2 linked regions of the Canis lupus familiaris genome follow. The protein of the gene in region 1 interacts with the protein of each later gene in a biochemical or structural test. Links are inferred from orthologs where the notes say so. Each region holds a gene or a part of one and is shown on either strand. Other genes may lie near its edges. The genes, in order: PLAU and SERPINA5.

Region 1 (4,565 bases):
GGTAGATGAGCTAAATTCAGCCCATTGCTGAATTTCCAGATCCTGGGACAGGCAGAGGTTGCATCCAACAAAAGAAGGGGCCTCTCAGCCCAAGTCATACGCACATGGGGCCATTGACATCTAGATGAGGCTAAATGTTTGGAAATTCAAGGACTCCTACAGAGGAGCAGCAGGCCCCTCACATATGTCCCTTTATTATATAAAACAGGATCTTCAGTTCCCCCTAACAACCTCAATCTCCCATTTGGTTCTCTTCTTGGACCCCACTTCCTCCAATCATCATCTTTATGGCAGAAAAGGGTTTTCCACTCACCAATATCATTGTGGTGAGCAAGACTGTCAGCACTATAGTCCTCATGCAAGATGAGCTTTTCCACCTCAAACTTCATCTCCCCAAATGTTTTGGAGATACGCTTTGACCGACCCAGGTAGACAATGTAGTCATCCTTCTTCTGGGAATTACTGTGGGAGGGGAGACTTGTCAGATAGTCTGATCTCATGAGATCTTGTCATTTCCCCTCCACAGCAACCTCAGAGCACGACTTGTCCCCAAAGCCATGGACTGCATGGAGAGGACTTAAGGGGGGTGGAATTTAAGTGGAATCCTTTGCTGGGAAGGAGAATGGGATGTTTTGGGGGTAAGGCAGGAGGGTCAGGGAGAAGAGACGGAGGGACTTACATGAAGCAGTGTGTGGCGCTGACCACCCAGCAAGGACTAATGAGGCTGCCACCACACTGATAGGTGACAGAGCCTCCACGGTGCTTCCTGTAGATGGCTGCAAACCAAGGCTGGTTCTCGATGGTGGTGAATTCTCCACCAATAATCTTAAAGCGAGGCCTCAGAGCCTTCTGGCCACATTGAAACTCTGCTTTTTCTGGAGGAGAGTGGGGATTTTTTTCTGGAGAAGAAAGAAAAGGATGTCTTAGGGAGGCAAGTAGGATAGTGTCCCTGTCTTGTCCTCTGACCTCCCAGTTTTTCAAGGCCAGGCAGGCCTCCCTCCTCCACCCTCTTGTGATGGGATAAAGGGACACATAAGTTTGTCCCCTTCCACCTGACTGTCATAAACAGGTCAGTGACACTCACCAAAAGAGCAGTGCTGCACCGTGCACTCCTGGACAAGCTGCATCAGGCCAACCTGCACATAGCACCACGGCTTTCTCTGGTGGTCCGGGTTCCTGGTAACACAGAGAGGTTGGGGGGAGTGTCATTCCAACCCAGAATGCATTTTCTTCCCCTCCAGGGAAAAGTCAGCCAGAGGCCTTGCTATTCTCATGCTTATGGACAGCACTCCGGAAATATAGGGGATGGTAACAGGGTCCCTGTGGGGCTAGAGACTCTTTGCTGCTCCCACCTCACCTGCAGTAATTGTGTTTGCCCAGGCCCAGCTGAAGGGCATCAGGTCTGAGGGCATGGTACTGTTTCAGAAGAACAGCTGCGGAGTTCCAGGCCAGGCAGGGCCGGCCCCTGGTGTTGGTGTTGGCCTTCCCGCGGTAAGAGTGACCATTCCCCTCGTAGCAGGTTTTTGATGTATCTAAGGAAGAATGGGAGGATGAGAGATATTAGAAAGAAGAGGAAATTCAGACAGGTATTTTAGAGAGCCTATCAGGCCTCACATGATTTCAGGCCCGGCAGAAAGCACTAGAAAGGGTTTCCTTCCCTCCTCATTGCACATTTGTGCAACCACAGATTCACGAAACAGCATGTGTTTATGCTCCACTGTGTATATCACACAGGGATGAAGATGTTCCCTGCTCCACCTCCAGCTCCTGACTCCTGCCTGCTCTTGCACCTTGCCCATCCTCCCTGTCCCCAAGTCTCTGGTGCCCCCTCCTCCCCAGTTAGAGTCAGGATCCCCATACCTATCTCACAGTGTTCCCCCTGGAATTTCTTTGGGCAGTTGCATCGCTGAATGTTGGAGAAGTACTTGTAGGACACGCACGTTCCTCCGTTCAGACAGCTGCAGTTTGCTGGAGATCACAGAGATGGAAGGGTAAGCAAGGGGGGGGGGCGCAGGAGCAGCAAGGGGGGAGCCAGGCCTGCAGCGCCGTCTGGGAGGGGCCGCCCCCTGAGGCTTCTGCAAGTGGTCTGTGCAGCCAGATATTGTGCAACGGGTGGATACTCACATGCGCTAGACACTGGATGAAACTCATGGCTGCCCTGGAAGAGATGGAGGCGAGGAGAAGTTCATCCAAGGTCCCAGGCTCCTGGGCCTCAAAGATGAGGAAACACTGGCCCCAATCCCAAATCTCACCCTTTCCTCCGTGTCCCTCTGTCCTCTCCTTGTTCACATCTAACTAGCCCTCAAGTGCAAGATCATAGGTTTCAAGCAGGGAGAAACGGATGGACTCAAGCCGGCGTCACAGAGCCGGCAAGGAGGCTGGCGCGGTCTCTGGGGCTTCTTCCCCCCTTGCCCCAAAGTGGGAACTCCCTGAGCCGTCAGGATGCTCACGGCCACATCTGTCCTCCTCCCCCTGACGCGGTCCGGCCCCGCGGTTGCTGGAACCCGGGGCACTCCGGCCCCCTAGGCCGCCCCCCGCCCCCCTCGGGCCGCGGGGAGCCAGAGCGGGAAAGCCGCTAATTCGAGAGTCGCTCACCACTAGGGCGCCCAGGAGCAGGCACGTCATCAGGGCTCTCATGGTGGCGGGGCTGAGGCTCCGGGCGGCGGCTCTGCTCGGGAGGGAGAGGTCAACTTGAGAAGGACGCGGGGGAGCGAGGACGCGGGCCGGGGGTGCCGGCAGCTCGGGCAGGGCCGGGGCGCGGGCGGGGCTCCCCGCGGGGGGATGCCCGGCGAGGCGCACCGGCGCGGGCAGCGCTGACTCAGGCTCGGCGGGGCCGGGCCGGGCACCCCGCGCGGCCGGGGCTGGGGCGGGGGGTGTCGGGGCGGCCTGCACTCACCGGTAGCTGCGGCGGGGGGACGCGGAGCCGGGACGGAGGGACCCGCTGGGGCTCGGACAGTCCGCGAGGCTCTGGGGCTCCGGGGGCCGCGCTGTGCCGCTCGCAGGCTGCGGGGCTCTGTCTATATCAGGACCCGCCCCGGCCCTGGCCCCGCCCCAGCCTGGGATCTCCCCAACCCTTTCCTTCCCTCGGCTTCCCTGGGGACAGCCGCGACCTGGACCCGTGGGCTTCCACGGCCTCGGCTGGGAGCGGGGCGCAGCGCGGCCCCCAGCGCAGGGGACGAGCGAGGTCTGAACAGAGGGATCGAGGGGCATCTAACTCCCTCGGCCCCTCCTCCCGTTCACCTGGCCCCGGCTCCACCCCAGGCCGAGAGCGCCCCGAACTGCACTAGCGAGACTCTCCTCCGTCCGGCTCTGCTGTCTCTTCCCAGATCCCCTAAATCAGCTCTTTTCCAGTCTTCCCACCTTCGGCCCCCCACTGCCTAAGAGAGTGACCGGGACCCCGGGGTATAGGGACCTAGTGCGCGGCTCCTAGAGCTAAGTCTCTTTCTCCACGTGAAAATGCAGGTGACAGGGGCACCTGGCTGGCTCAGTGCGGGGAGCGTGGGACTCTTCATCTCTGCGTTGCCAGTTGCAGCCCCAGGTCGCTGTAAGAGGTCACTTAAAAATAAAATCTTTGAAAAGAAAGAAAATGCATGTGACACGGACTCGGTGAGTCTTGCTAACAGGGGATGTGTCTGTCAAATAGGAGCTTCCCAAAATTCATCAATCCAACCAGTGGATAAGACAAGCGAGTTTATTGCTTCTGAAGGAAAGGGCCTTTGGTAGTGGCTGGCAGGGGCAGCTTGTAGGCAAGGTCGGATTTTTCTTGCAGTTTGACTTAAGAGTGGTCTTTGAAAGTGAGGGCTTGATAAGGGTTGGATGAGGAATACCGGATTGTGAGAGCAAAGTCTAAGGGCACAAACTATCAATGCTTTCTATTGAAGTATTGATGGATGTTTCAAAAAGTTCCTATAACAAACAATCCTTTTATTTGCTGGGGCCAGAGTATACTTTATTGATAAAGACACTAGTAAAGCCTCATTAACCCTGACAGTAAGCTGTGGAGGGGTAAGAAGTTCTGTTTTCACATCTGAGGAGAGGGATTGGGGAATTGGAGGACAAGAATGAGATTATTTTTCACTGTATGCCCTTTTATGCTGTTTACATTTTTGAAAACATACCTTTGTATCACCCATTCCAAAAACGTAATTACAGATTTTTTTAAAAAACACATATGTATTGGGGATCCCTGCGTGGCTCAGCGGTTTAGCACCTGCCTTCAGACCAGGGTGTGATCCTGGAGTCCTGGGATCGAGTTCCGCATCCAGCTCCCATCATGGAGCCTGCTTCTCCCTCTACCTGTGTCTCTGCCTCTCTCTGTGTGTCTCTCATGAATAAATAAATAAAATCTTTAAAAAAAAAAACCACATATGTACTTAGTATTCCAGACTTCATCATAAAGCCTTGCTTCTAGTAAGATAAAAAATGATTGCTTATCAAACCAGATTGGCCTCCAGGAAGACAAACCATGTGTAAAGGACTCCACCCGCCCTTCCTGCCCTGGGCAAGGGCACATAGTTGTATAGACGTGCACAAGCACATATTCCTCAGACATGTGTTTGTTTGTT
Region 2 (4,360 bases), on another chromosome or scaffold:
TAACACCGAGCTGATAATTGCCTCAAAAGAAATGCTTTCAGAGAATAGTTGCAGACACCGAGGGAGGTTCCTGCTTGGATGGAGCCCAGAGGCAGTTGCCGCAGGCAGGAGAGAGAGTTCTGGCCTCCTGTGCCTTCAGCTGGCCCGGTGGCCTTGAGCCAGTTCCTTCCTCTCTGCAGGCCTCAGCTTGTTCATAAACAATTCTCCCCACCACTGCCCCTTTGCCCCCCACCAAGCACCAGAGGTCTGGTGGGCCAGAGCCACTTTCTCAGCACCCACCGAGTCTCCCCAGATACCGGGGTCTCCTTGGAGGCGGCCCCAGCCTCATGCCCTCTCCCCTGGGCTGCAGGTTTGGGACCTAGAACTCTCCACTTGGGCTCACTCTCTCTCTCTTACTAAAACCAGTGTTTGAGGACGCCTGGGTGGCTCAGTGGTTGAGCCCCTGCCTTCAGCTCAGGGTGTGATCCTGGGGTCCTGAGATCAACTCTTGCATCAGGCTCAGGCTCCCCGCAGGGAGCCTGCTTCCCCCTCTGCCCGTGTCTCTGCCTCTCTCTGTGTCTCTCGTGAATAAACAAATAAAATCTTAAAAAAAAAGAAACCCAAAACAGTGTTCATTAACAACCTCTTCAATACTCTACAAATATTACTGCATCTACCCATCAAAGGAAGAAACATCATTGAGACCATTTTGCGGATGGGTAAACTGAGGCTGAGCAAAATGGTATATAGCTTGTCTCAGCCAGTGAGTGATGGAGCCGGGATTAAAATCCAGATTCCTGTGACTGGTGTACACACTGCCTCGTTCTTCCTTTCACGGTTCTGAGACAGATACCTTGTTCCCTCTCCCCTGTAGCTAGGTCCTCGTGAGTATCCCCAGGTCTCGCCCAAGCTCATTTATGCTCCTCCACAGCAACACGGAGCTGGTATCTTCACCATCATTGTACAGAGGAGGAAATAGGGGGTCCGAGAGAGTGGAGGCATGAGGGTGCTGGTTTTAGGCTTCCCAGTTTCAAACCCGGACTGTGCCAGTCATCATATTACTAGGCCTCCGGCGGAAAGACACAGCTTTGACAGAGTTTTGTGCCAACTGTGAGCTGGGGCGAGTCTGCTCCAGGCCCTGGGAGCCTGGCCCCTGGGAGATGGGCTCTCAATCAGGAGAGTGGAGCCTGGCCTCGTTGGCCCTCTCCTGGGCCCCCCGATGCCAGTGTTTCTGCAGAGAGGTCCCCGCATGTCCGAGGGAGAAGAGCAGATGGATCCAGCGCATCTGGCACCCCAGGCCAGAGTGACTTGAGCCGGCCGGGCTGGGCAGGGCAGGGCCTGGGCAGGCGCTGAGGAAGTCCTCCCACTAATCCCCACCATCCATGGACTCCAAAACTGCTGCACTTATTCCGAATGCTAGGTCCCAAAGTCCTACCAGGTCAACTTGGAGCTCAGCTGTGGGAGGTGTGTGCCTAAGGAGACCTGTCTGCTCCTCCTCGCTGTTGTCATGCCTTGCCCCTGCCCGGCCCCTCCCCGTGCATTGTTATTCTCTAGGATGGCCCCTGAGCCCCCACAGTGATGGAAGCCCGGGTCCCACGTGCATTTGCAGGTGCCTTCCTGCCTCCCGGCCTCTGTTCCCAACTAGAGCACGAGCTCCTAGCAGAGAGCAACCGAAAAGCAACCGAAAAGGCTCTTGCTGTGAGGTTTGCAGCCAAGGGCTGGTGCTCAGACCCCTTTTTGGAAGAATGAATGAATGAATGAATGAATGAATGAATGAAGTCCTTCTCTATGGCTCAGAGGCTTTAGAACCTGTGCTGGACGCGAAGCCCTCCTGCACCCAGGGCTAACTTGCCAGGTGGCTTGGAACAACTCTCCTCTGCTATTCGGCTTCCATTTCCCTTTTCCTTCCTAAAAACTCATTTCTTGAGATACGAGTGACATACAAAAAGCCCTGGGCCATGTACACCCGTGAAACTACCACCAGCACAAACGAACCCATCGCCTCCCGGCCCCCTCTGCCCACCGCCTTATCCTTCATGCTTCTTGATCCGTGACCAAGGACGCTGGGCAGCAACTGCCCCTCTCCTTAGAAAAACCGAAAAGTATACTTATTTTATGTCCAAGTTTCGCCTATTTAACAAATCGCCACACAGCATCCGGAGCTCGAGCAGCCCCTGAGACCCCTGTAGGTGGCAGCTCCAGCCGGGGCAGCCCTGACTCAGGGAAACAGAGCTGTTCCGTCGTTTCTCCTGATTTCTAAAGGTCCGAGATGGCAGGTGCCGAAAGCCAGACAGAGGAGCACCGCCTGTGGACCAGACTCTGTCCCCTCTACCTTGTCTCGGGGTTTCTCCACCTCGGAGCTGTTCTTTGTCATGGGGGCTCTCCTGTGCCTTGTCAGCGATTTAGGGGCATCCCTGACCTCTACCCACTAGACGCCAGTGCAACTCTGTCCCCAGCTGTGCCCACTACAAATGTCTCCAGATGTTGCCAGATGTGCCGCAGGGATCAAAATCCCTCCTGGGCGAGAGCTACCACATACCGAATCTTCACAGCCACTGTGGGGAAGGTGTAATAATTCGCATCTTACCTAAAAGGACACCAAGGTGCTGCCAATGTAGTGTGTGCCCAAGTTCACAGTTCTGGGGCAGAGGGTGGACTCTGCGGCCTCTGAGGCCCTGGCTCTCTCCCCACCCCCGCGGGAAGTTTTCCTGGTCACTCTGGCGCTGCCCCAAAGCTTCGAAGCCTCTCAAATCCCAGAACCCCAGTATCCTATCAAGCCCCATGCCCTCAAGCCCGTGGGCCCCCTGTCCGTCTTCAATGCCTGTACTTACTCTGTCTCACAGTCAAGCGTGCACACAGTGGAGGTCCCAGTCCCTCACGCTCAGCGAAAACCAGAAGCTGTTGGAAGGAGCATTTGTCACTGACCTGGGCAGAGCCCTGACTCCGCCCCCGCCCCCTTGGCCCTGCCCCGTCCTGTCCTGGAGGGCTTCTTGCCAACGGGTAGGCTGCAGGCACAGCCACCTGAGCTCTGACCTGGGGCCACCCACTCACCAGTCTTACACAGACCCCCGTTGGCCTCCACAGCACGGGGTCCCCAGGGAGGCCACCTGCTGCTGGCATTCCAGACACAGAGAAAGGGACACCCTCTGGCAAGCCTTCCTTTCTCCAGGCTGATTCCTCTGCTCCCACAGCCACTTGGCTCTACATCTGGGGCAGGATCGTGCGAGCCCGAGGTCTCCACACCCCCCAACACTACCGGATTCCCAGGCAGAGCTTACAGGATTCCTTCAATGGTGAGAGTCTAGAGGAAGTCAGAGGGACTGTCACCATGGCTGGATGCAGGGACCATTGGATCCAGTCCCCTTGCTGTGCAAATAACTGAATTGAGGCTCAGAAAGATGAGCGGGACATCAAATTAGGGACAGAATGGTGCCTGGTGCCCAGGTCACCAACTTCAAGGTCAAGGCTTTTTCCTTAGGAAAGGACTGTATCTGGGTTTTCAGTAGGCTCAGCTGGAGCTGAACTGCCCTTTTTGACCTTGACCTTGGGGCTCTGGAACTCAGCCCCGCCATTTCAAGAGCATTTCCAAGATACTGGTGCAGGGTGCTGGCTCAACCCTTGCTTCATTCCCAAGGTCCCCGGGCCCTGGTGTCAGGTGTCCTGCGTGTGGCCAAGACCCAGGGGTGATGTGGGTGAGCTGGGGTGGGGAATTGGCAGAGGAGACAGGGGGCCAGACGTTGCCCAGGGGAAGCGATCTTGGTGTTCAGCAAACAGGGTCCCTCTACTGCCTCTGAGACCAGGAGGAGACTGAGGCCCACCTCAGTCCACAGGTTAACACCATCACTACTGGGCATTGAGCACTTACTTTGTGCTCGCTGCCTCCCAGATGTGCTGGAAGGTGGGTACTAGTATCTCCATCGGATCAGTGAGAAGACAGAAGCAGAGAGAGGTTAGGTAATCAGCCCAAAGGCACACAGCTAATAAGGGGGAGCGTTAGCAAGGGGAAAGCTAGGTCTCTTCCGTCCATTGTCCCATGTGACATAGCAAGAGTCCTTTAAAGAACCTAGAGATTCCTAAACTGTGTTCTGTAGGGTGGAAATCGTATTACATGCCTGTGCTGGGGTGGATAACATGTCCCCCAAAGATAGCCACATCCTAATACCCAGGATCTGTGGATCTTCCCTTATATGACAAAAGGGACTCTGCAGATGTGATTAAGTGAAGAATTTTTGTTTTAAAAGATTTTATTTATTCCTGAGAGACAGAGGGAGAGAGGCAGAGACACAGGCAAAGGGGGAGAAGCAGCCTTCCTGCAGGGATCCCGATGCAGGACTCGATCCCAGCACCCTGGGATCACGACCTGAGCCGAAGGCAGATGCTC

What was found.
Region 2: the proteins of PLAU (region 1) and SERPINA5 form a complex in vitro, tested with the Homo sapiens proteins (2 studies listed by BioGRID). The link is inferred for Canis lupus familiaris from reciprocal best matches to the Homo sapiens genes PLAU and SERPINA5.

The regions. Positions count from the first base shown.
Region 1 is NC_049225.1:25,060,327-25,064,891, reverse strand, and holds the start of PLAU (urokinase-type plasminogen activator precursor), read right to left. Parts: upstream 2,997-4,565; 5' UTR 2,897-2,996; intron 2,669-2,896; 5' UTR 2,638-2,668; coding exon 2,596-2,637; intron 2,159-2,595; coding exon 2,125-2,158; intron 1,992-2,124; exon of another isoform or gene 1,969-1,991; coding exon 1,861-1,968; exon of another isoform or gene 1,533-1,860; coding exon 1,358-1,532; exon of another isoform or gene 1,177-1,357; coding exon 1,085-1,176; intron 900-1,084; coding exon 680-899; intron 463-679; coding exon 314-462; intron 1-313. UniProt on the Homo sapiens protein: Specifically cleaves the zymogen plasminogen to form the active enzyme plasmin.
Region 2 is NC_049229.1:63,890,981-63,895,340, reverse strand, and holds the start of SERPINA5 (plasma serine protease inhibitor), read right to left. Parts: upstream 2,953-4,360; 5' UTR 2,811-2,952; intron 2,682-2,810; exon of another isoform or gene 2,567-2,681; intron 1-2,566. UniProt on the Homo sapiens protein: Heparin-dependent serine protease inhibitor acting in body fluids and secretions. Inactivates serine proteases by binding irreversibly to their serine activation site. Involved in the regulation of intravascular and extravascular proteolytic activities.